Linked DNA regions of Caenorhabditis elegans. The protein of the gene in region 2 purifies or fractionates together with the protein of the main gene of each other region. This does not show direct contact. Each region holds a gene or a part of one and is shown on either strand. Other genes may lie near its edges.

Region 1 (4,736 bases), 6.0 Mb from region 2:
GTACATTTGACTGACACTAGTGCTCCGTTGACAACCTGTGACTGAGGATTACCTTATTTCACAAAAAGAACACACAAAAACCCAGTGAGAAATGATCGTCTCAGTTCATTGTTCTGACACCTTTCCGTGCGCGAAATTGGTTGGATTAACGTCCAGTGAGGAACGTATTGAAGATGAAACGAACGTGCTAATTAAATGAACGATGAGGATGATGATGGGTGCCGTTTGCCATCTATTAGGCATGGATTACCTGGCTTAACGTTCTCGAATTGCTTGAATCGACAGCCACTGTGCAAAGGGTAATTGTATACACTTCTAACACGGGAACACCGGAGACAAAACGTACTGCTAAAACTGAGACTAACACGCCTATTGTTCTGGTTTCGTACTTCGACTGCTAGTAGTCAGCGCGTTCGTCTCATTCTCATTGTCCGGATCCCCATGTTGACAGGAACCAAAAGTATTAGACTTTTGTTTTTTAATAAAAAAATGAAACGGTAAATCATGAATCATTCCTCAAATATTTTTCAGCCACCAGCTTCCATTAAGTCAATTTTGACAATTTTTCCAAAAAAATATTTGGTGTAAGAGCAAAAAAAAAGAAAGTGATATCACAAGAGATTAATTGAAAAATTCCTGAAGCACACTCCTGTGAACAAGCTAAAGTTTTTTGGTCGCTCACAATGAAGCGGACATAAATCATTATCAGACTAGAGGATTAAAAGTTTGTAATGTTGCGGTAAAATCTTTAAACTATATAAGCATAATCAGAGAAGTGCAAATTTAGTTAATTCAAAATGTTAGATCATAAATTCAGTTATTCAATGTGACCGTATTCATATTAATTTGGAGCCGATTTTCTCATAAGCTGTTGAAAATATCTATTCACCACCGGGCAGATCGTAAACCATCTGATTGAATACAGATTTCCTTATGTAATCTATCCGTATTGTGCAATACTTTTGACGCGACAACGAGGGCAAGAAATGGCACTGTGTGCAGCTGCGCGCGTTGAAGCAGATGCTTGTAACGACATAAAAGAGCTCCTGCGTTGAAGAGATGGCACACAAATGGGGGCACGATTCCATCACATATCATCAAATTGAGAAGAGTCAAGGAATGGACAAGGACGTTTGGACAGAAATCAGATTTGGATAGCGTAGATTTCGAGTAAAAAACCCCGCGTCAAAAAAGTTTCCTCAGCAAAAAAGAGAAAGTTGTGCGTATGGGTAGGGTCAAGCACGAGGCAAGCCCTGTTGACCAAACATATAAAGTGAGAGGCGAAAAATGTGGGGAAGGACGGAGATGGTCCTATTTGGTCGGCTCAACCTCATAAAGTTGCGTCACCGTACCTGTGGCCAGGTGTGTGCAGGATGGAGCAAACGAGGAGGCAACGATTGGAAGATAAGCCTAATGACTGGGTGTTCAGACGTACAATGCGGGTCCGTTTGGAACAATTACAATTTTTCTTGGTCAATTCAAGACGGATGGTGATATTTATAAGGATGAAAGAAGAACGGATGACGAGAGCTAATCAGAAATGGACATGCGATACGTTACGGCTACGAAGAGAGAGGAGGAGGAAAATGGCATGCAACATTTGAGCAGTCTAATAAAGCCGAACACAGATGAAGAACGAAGCGGTGGCCAATATTCAATCTGCATAATAAATAAGCGATCCGTACAAACAAAGACGTTTCCTTCGTGGTCTTCCGTCCTTCCGACACTCCCTACGGACCATGAACCGACCGACATAAGAAGGCCAGCTCCCACGGGAGCTTTTGGTATGGTGTCTCGAATGAATTTTGCATATAAATAGAAGAAACCGACCGAAACATATTGAAAACGGAGATTCGATTTATTTTCCATCTTATCTTTTATTGAGTCAGTTCAGAGGGGTTTCAATTGTCACTTTGACACCTTATTAGCAACCGAACAAAGAGTGCCGGATTTGCTAAGTGAGTGTAAAAACAAGATTATAAAAACAGTGGGCCTTCTTATTCTAGTCTTTTGAATGTTTTGATTGACGTAAGATCTTGGGCCACTTTGTTTCTTTTGAGAATTGCGAAGACGAACATTGTTGAGTAAAATTTAGTAGGGACGAAATTTTTTGAGAATAACAAAACATTTTATGTGCGCCAAAACTTTTTTCGATTTTTTGGTTCTTCAAAAAACTGAAAAACGGAAATTTTCGCTTTTGAGAAAACTGCAAAAACAAATTCTGAAAACACTCCAAAATCGGTATTTTTATACAGAATGCAATATTTTTATTACTGATGACGCCCTATTTCATACAAACAACATACATAAATTGCACTTTTTCAAACTGGACCCTAATTTTTTTTCGATTTTTTGGGTTTTTCGGCTTTTTGACCCACACCGCAAAATTGAAAAACCGAAAAACGTGAAGAACGGAAAACAACATTTTTTGTTAAGATTTAGGTTATTTAGAGAAAAAACTCGGTTTTTCGAAAAAAAAAAACTAGCAGACAATTCATATAATACCTAAAAACCAGGATGTTTTCGAGTTAAGTGAATGTTTCAAAATAAGGACGTCACTCTGAAGTCGTACGAAAATTTTTTTTGAAACACCTATCTCTGTACACATATGAGTAGTCACAACATTTGTGGCTTCGTACACCTTTGAAGTGTTTTTGAATGCACAAACATGACGCCGCTTTTTTTGGATTTGTGCCAAGAAGCAGAATAAGTTTTTCAGGCAAATACAAAAGAAAACATCTCGTTTTCTGTGTACAAAACTACATATATCAGGAAACGAGATTTAGTAAAACATTTTATAAGACTAAAAGAATTGTTTAGTTACATAGGAAAATTTTTTTAATGCCTCGAAAAACTTCCGGGCACGCGTTCGAAACTGGCATTAAAAAAAGTCTCACCTCTATGTGTTTATCAATAAGCCGGGACTAAAAAATGGGTGCGCCAAATTGAAATTTCGTTTTCGATTCTAATCACAAGTTCGGTTCAATACACGTTGTCGTTCTGAAAATCGAAAGTAACTTTTGCAACATATACGTTCAAGACATGAAATGGAGCGGAAAACTTCAAAAAGGGGTGTCCTTTTGAAACTTGGCAAAAAGCGATTTGTATCAGTTGACAGACTAATTTACGATAATGTACATATTGAAGAAACTTTCAAATTGGAACTTCTGAGATCTGATGAATATAGGTTTTTCAAAAAAGAATAAAAAAGCTAGCAATGTGTATAGTTTTGATGTGAAAATAAATATCGTAAGAGAAAAAGAAACACTGTCAGTTGCATACCTCATAAATATAATCAAGGAGGTATTGAAATTGCCGAAAAAACGGTTATCAGAGGAAAGAGATAGCAAGTACGAAATGAAGAATGCAACCTGGAAAATTCGCTTTCTCTTTTGTTGCATCCCTCCTTGTTGATAACACACTATGAATGTGGTTTTGACAAGAAAAACATACGCACACAGTTTGAAGCATTTTTTTTTCTTGTCACCAACCATTCGGATGAATTATACCCGAAAATGTGTGTACACTCGTTGGAGGATAGGGGAAAAAGAGAAAATGGTCAAGGTAGGTAAACAGAAAGCTTTCATAAACGTTTTTCTTACCATTTTTTTGCCTTTTCTTGGGCATAAAAGTTAGAGTTACTACAATGAATGTCAGTGTGGTTTGTACTATTTTCTGCATACGCAGAGGGAAATCAAAAATATCAATAGAGCGAAGAAAAGCGGTGAGTTTCAAAAAGGCTCTTCCCATGAAATATAACCCCCATTGTAATTAAAATTCTGAAAAAAAAACCAGAGTGCAATGAGTTTTTGAATGCGCCGTCTATATGCGTGGCAAGGGAATACAGCTATTTTCATTTTATCATATGTATATTTTCATATCTATATGAAGTTTGCAAATATATAAAACAAATTTTTTACTAATTTCGAAGAGCACATTTAAAAAAGTTGAAATTTAAACGAAGATATTAGATTGCAAATATCAATCTGTAGTTTTGTTTGATTTTGAAGTTATTCAAAACATAAAACGGTAATGGATTTTCAAAAGAAATAAAATAGAGTCTAACAAAACAGAAAATTAGGATTTCCAACAATTTTTGCTTTTGATAAGACACGCTAGATGTTGTTGATCATAAAGCCACGGTAATCATTGTCCTGGCCAAATGTAGAACTAATTAAATTTTGCGACAAAGTCCCTGTTGTCATAAAAATGTGATTTTTCCAGTCCTACGTTATTTAGAATTTAACACGATCCGTCCTGCTATTCAAGGAAAAATAAAATCAGGGCGTTTCTTGTTAGTGGTTTCTCGGTATGTGTGTCCAATACACTAATTACTCGATGGTGATTGAAATCAAATATCAAGACAGGAAAGAGGACACGAGTAACTGATAAAGGTCAAATGCACATTAAACTTAACGCACAAAAAGTTAGGCAATGTCGTAGAAAGTGGTGTGTGAGGAGATAGAATGGTGAGTCAGGAACGGTAGAGGGTTTTCTATTCGAAAGAATAAAAATCTGTTTTCTAGTAAAATTGAAAAGAGTGAGAGATTGAGAGAAAAATAATGGAATAAAATCGGAATGGTGTTTACATCATTTCCATATTAAAATTTTGAATTGGAAATTTAAAATACAAACTACTGGTACATATAGGAATATGAGATACTTTGAATTTTCAAATTTACAGTTTAGATATAACTGCATAATAATACCTTTTGAAAAAGATTCTTATACTTCTT
Region 2 (5,854 bases):
TTTAGTTTTGTATCTCTTAATTTTGTTGGAAACTTTCTACTATAAGATTTTTCAGAGAACTCAACAGTGAATATCTAGTCGGAGTACTAGACATTTGCAATTTCGACGACTTTTTCTGCTGTTTAATAATGGAACTCTGCGATTGTGATCTTGACCATCACATGCGCAATATTTCGGTCAAAGGAAGATTGAATCCGTCGAATTTCAGGTAAGGAATTTGGAATTCTCGCATTTCTTTTCTTTGCATTACAGATTGGGGAACGGGGGGGGGGGGGGGGGGAACACACAAACATGTTTTGATTCAAGTAAATAGTAGAGAATACGGAACAGGAACTAGGGAAGAGGGCTAGGATAAGGAAGTTTCAGCATGTCTTCCTCAAAACTTTTTTACAACTTTCAAACAGAAATCACTTCAGGCTTCTTCTTGACAACATTGCCCGAGGATACAAAGCGCTTTATGAGTTGAAAATTGTACATCGGGACATTAAACCCCAAAACATACTGATCACTTATACAGATGCATCGAAACAAATTGCTTGTGCTCGGATCACAGACTTTGGTGTGTTTTGGAACTCATTACGTAATTTAATTCATTTCTTGTTTCAGGAATTTCGAGAACCCTTGATAACGAGGGAGAAGAGCTGTGCAACGTTGCGGGTACATTTTATTACATGGCTCCAGAAGTTGGAGCGAACCTTTTAAAAACTTGTCAGTATGACTCAAAAGTTGATATGTGGAGCATCGGATGCCTTCTCTACCAATGCGTTACAGGAGAGGTTAGTCCTTCCGAACCCTAAAGTTTTTCCAAGAACAAAAACGCAAATAACTCCCCAGGGGCTTCGCAGTTGAAGTGGAAGAATGACGTAGATAACTTCATATTCACAATTTTTCTTTTGCAGGTCCCATTCGATGAGTGCAGTTTGTGTAAGCTCTTCCTGTATGTGGCAGGGGCTAACTTCGACGCCTACGACCCGCCTGAGCTGCCCGACGAGCTGAGTCAAGAGGTTTCGGGGATTATTCAATCACTGCTGCAGCTCGATACCACTCAAAGATGCACACCTACTCAGTTTTATGACAAAGCAATCAACTGGAGTCAACAAATATGTTAGCCGATCCTTTTTTTTTAAATGTTTAACCATTACAAAGAGTTATCTCATATCTCTACAAGTAGATCTATCATTGAAATATATTTGAAAAGAGAAAACAAATTTCGGGTTTCGAAGTTCACAGAATGTTAATTGATTGTCGAATAAAATGATTTATTAGTTGAAAGTATAACAATTTGAATATGAATCGAATAAAAAAACAGGAGAAAGTTGAGATCATGAACAACGTCGGTGATAAACTGAAGAAAAACCAAACTAATCAAAGGCCGGAGAACCGTCAGTTGAGACCATAGACCAAACTGACTAAATATTATAACACATCTTCAAAAAATTTTCAGACAAAATTATGGTAAATTTTCAAATTTTCCACATCGAGTCATTTCAAATATTTTTTAAAAAAGATTTTAGCATTATAAAAGCAAACTTGAAAAATATTCCCACTGGCAATAAAAAGTTAGGCTCAAAGTTAAAGACTTTCAATTTACATAAATTCGAATAAAGAACTCCCGCCAAAAATGTTAGCATTCAGAACCGTAGAAAAATTAATTCGGCTTACAAATTATCAAAAAGATTATTGAGTGGTCCTCATATTGTCTTTTCCCTCTCGTTCTCTTTTCAGCGAGGCCAAATCTTTTGTGACGAGCTGCAATGGATCAAAAGTGCGATTGTACGTGTGTGAAAACGACGGAATCGGGCTGCCCACTAGTCTCCATAATCCTTCTCGAGAGTTCACTTCTACACACGACAAGTATGGTGTGTTTTGAAGTAGGTAGTAGAAATCGTCAGTTGATCTGATATCACCGCCGACCAGCTGCCGAGTGCATGTTTCGAGTGATGCACCATGAGCCACAATGAGAATGTTTCCTGGAATATACATTTAACGTGACGTTTTATGAGATGTAGAAGCTAGAAAGTTCATAGGGTGATAGACAGGAAAATCACGAGAAATACACATTGATCACTAGTGTCAAAAAGTTGAGAAAAGAAATCACCTTCTGTGCATTCCGACAAAATTTTGTTTATAGAACCAAACGATCTTTGATAGAAATCTGCTAAGGTTTCATTCATTCGAAGCTCCTTATCCGTCCAACATGGTACATAGTTTTCTTGTACAGGGTAGCCTGAACATTTTTAGTATTGGAATTAAACGCCGAGCATACGTACCAAGCTTTTTCAAATCTTTTGGCGGAATCCAGCATGGTCTTGCGTACCTTGCAAATACCATCCACTCATAAAGCCCAGGTTCAACGGAAAACTGAATTCGCTTGTCAAGACCTAGAACATGTTTATTTTAAGTGATGTCAGTTGTCTTGCGGGAAACATCGAAACATGACGTACCCATTCCCTTCAATAGACCAACTGTTGTTTGGATGCACCTCAAAGCCGGGGAACAGAAAACATGGTTGATTTCGATTCCATTGTCACGTAATGCTCGTCCTGAAAAATTAATAGGTCTTGTTGATGAAGAACATAATAGATAATAGTTTAGACAAATTCTGACTGAAAATAAAGTTATTTTTTGAAAAAAAAAACTATTTAAAATACAGTACAGTATTAGAAATGATGTGGAAAAGAAACCAAAGAACAGTATAAGCTCTTGTTTTTACGATTTATAAAATCTTTCATAAATTTGTAATTTTAAATGTTTTTATAATTATTTTTATTTAAACGTTGTGCGAATTGAAATACATTTTCAAAAAAATACCTAAACTTTCTCGAATAACATATGTAAAAATAAATTCAAGTTTTTCAAATTTTAACTGTGTTTTTGAGCATTTAATAATGATTTGTTTTTTAATAGTTCTTATAATTATTCAATATAACCAACTAAAGCTCTTAAACAAATTCCATATTTTTCAACATTTTTCTGTACAAGACAATAGCCAAAATTCAAATGAAATGACGTTTTGTATAAGTTCGAATAAAAATGCACATTTAATGAAACTGCATTGGAATATAAAATTTGCAGAAACATGTTTTTAAAGTTGAATTTCAGAACTATGATAACTGTGAAACAAAAGGTACGCGGTCAAAAATTTTAGCTGCCGAAATTGCCGAAATTTTTCGAAACTTAAAAAATTGAATTTGGCATAATTCGCAATTGTAGTTATTTGTTAATCACTTTTTTCGGAAAACTCTTCGAGATCTTATAAAAACTAAAAATGTAAAAATTGCATACTTTCAGTAATTGTTTTTCAAAAATTGGTCATTTTGGAAATTGCTGGTTTTTTTTTGATTTTTCAGGAAATTTCAAAGATTTCTTAAACAGCCTAAATCAAATTGCTATGGCTCTAAACAATTTTCCAACTGGCAACTGGTTTAATTTCAAACAACTTAATTTGTTATGAAATTCAAAAAATAATCTATCTAAATTATTGAAATAAACTTGAAAATTGTAATTGTTATTTTTGCAAATAAATTGCAAATTTTCAGTTTACCTGTCAATTTTGATTGAAGATAACCAATTTCAGTCAACGGGGTGTCGGCAGCAAAACCTTGCCATCCATCGGCACGTTTTGGAAGAGTTCGGGGAAGATTGATGTCAAGCGGGCGATATCTACAGACTTAAACTTGTTCTAGAATGCTTAAAATAACGTTTACCTTCCTCTGCTGTCAAATGAATTGATCCAAAGTCCTGACTTGCCAAATGCAAAATCACATCTTTCACCATGACGGATAATGAACACTCTCCGCTCGGGCATTTATCTGGAATACAAACGAAATGGAAAAGTATATTTATATAATATTATTCATATGCAAAATGAAATGAAATGAAATTGAAAAGAGAAATACGATAGGAGAAACAACAGAAATAGAGATGCGCAAGCGCCTAGAGAGTGATGATTGCTGAAGAAACGTAGAGAAAGAAAGACGGAGAAAACAGTGGAATCGAACCTGAATTTGGATGCGTGCCAATAACTTTCACAAGCAAATTCTACAACCAGTATAAGACACAATTCAAACAATTGACAGAACCTCAAGGTCGATCAATAAAAATCCGTCGCACGCTCTAATTGTGAACAATAGAATTTAAACCTACATATAATAGCGCAATCAAAAACGAGTGATAAGAGACATATTTTTCCACTTTGCAACTGTCTGTCACAAAATAAAACGTAGTAGTAAAAGTAAAAGCATCAAAATTTTTGAAACGAAAAATTGGTTTGACCTCGCTAAAATGGAAAAATGGTGTGTGTTGAACAGAAACCGAAATCTAACGAGCGCAACATAATTGAGTCAAATTCAAAAGACATTTTTTTGATGGAAGTGCCAATGTGGGAAATATTTTGAATTGACTAGTTTTTAGAAATTATTTTTTGAGTTGTTTATTTCGCAAAATCACAAAATTTCAACATGTTAAACGCAAAGAAAACCGTTTTATAGTACTAAAATGAGCAAATAGTTATCAAAATATTTTTGACAAAGTTTTATTTGCATTCAGAAAGTTTGGATTCTAAAAATTTTTTTAAAAAGCCAAATTTACCAAAACTTTCACGACAAGTTTGAAAAATCTGAATATTTTTGGCAAGTTTAATTATTATTTGATTGGAAATGTTTTTTAAATTAATTAATTAAATAAGGTTTTACGAAACTTTTCTTTCACAAAAATTATATAGGGTGCAACTAATATCTTCAACCTATTTCGTTTGCGAAAAAGTTGCGCAATTTTTATCTATTTATGAATGCTGAGCAAGGCAAACTTTGAAAAAAAATATTTAAGTGGGAAATTATTTTTACTCTGTCGAAAATAACTATTTTAAAAATGTAAACTATTCAAGAAAAGTAAAAGTTATCAGATGGGAACACAATTAACTTTTATTTCCGTATTTTTTCCTTATATATGAATTCTCGTAATAATTAGCGCACTGTCTTGGTAATTCAGCGTTTTGAGCTCTAATAACTTTGTAATTTTTTTTTTAATACTGTGTGCGTTAATTCAAAATTTGTGAAATTTTCCGACTTTTGTTCAGTTAAAAATATTATCAACAAACGCAAAAAGAATCAAATTTTAGGGCTTTAGGGCAAAATCAGGTTTTCCAGAAAAGCGTCTGAAAAATTTGCAAAGCCCGTTTCACATAGAAATTAAAAAAAACTCAGAAAACAACTAACATAACTAAAAAAAACTAAAGTAAAATCCCAATGCAGCACTGTTAAAAGAAATACGATTTGAAATCTCGGTGACTCATTGTCAAAAACCGTTTTCTATGTCACTAACTATGGATGATGGATATATAAAGCAGTGAGAGGAAACGGAAGAAAAAGACAATGAAAGCGGTCGACTTGCTGAGTTTTATTTGCCTAAAGAATTAAAAACTTTCTCTAGTGCTTGTGGTGCTCCATAGCCACACCGCATTTGACAAATGACAAAAAGTGAAAAGAGCATAGGACACTGGTGTTCCATTTTCTCATATCTACACCATTTCAAAACATACATATTGAAAAATTCATTGTAATGGCAACTTTGTCATAGACAACGGGAATGGGAAAAACCAATGGGGAGGAATAACCCGTGGGCGATACGGAATCCAATGTCTCGGGAGGATAAGTATGTGAAAGAGAAATAACGAAATATTAATATTAGGTTACAACCAGATTTTTGATGTGAAGAAAAAAAAATAAAAAAAAGAATATGCAAAAATGACATGTAAATGAGGAAAGCTGAGACAGAATGGGGACACCGTAGGCAAAACGTCGGAAATCACAACACAAAATTAGAAAGAACCGAAATGATAATTGAACTGTCACTA

What was found. The genes of interacting proteins can lie anywhere in the genome.
Region 1: the proteins of T07F12.1 (region 2) and dgn-1 fractionate together in Caenorhabditis elegans (co-fractionation; one large-scale study listed by BioGRID). This does not show direct contact.

What each region holds. Positions count from the first base shown.
Region 1 is NC_003284.9:10,925,999-10,930,734, forward strand, and holds the start of dgn-1 (Dystroglycan 1), read right to left. Parts: upstream 3,001-4,736; 5' UTR 2,898-3,000; intron 1,822-2,897; exon of another isoform or gene 1,617-1,821; intron 1-1,616.
Region 2 is NC_003284.9:4,892,015-4,897,868, reverse strand, and holds T07F12.1 (Steroid-phosphate phosphatase), read right to left. Parts: upstream 3,815-5,854; 5' UTR 3,809-3,814; coding exon 3,708-3,808; intron 3,664-3,707; coding exon 3,545-3,663; intron 2,544-3,544; coding exon 2,445-2,543; intron 2,382-2,444; coding exon 2,271-2,381; intron 2,228-2,270; coding exon 2,099-2,227; intron 1,971-2,098; coding exon 1,678-1,970; 3' UTR 1,238-1,677; downstream 1-1,237. Other genes in the region: T07F12.4 (Protein kinase domain-containing protein), read left to right, coding at 56-208, 417-559, 607-776, 900-1,109.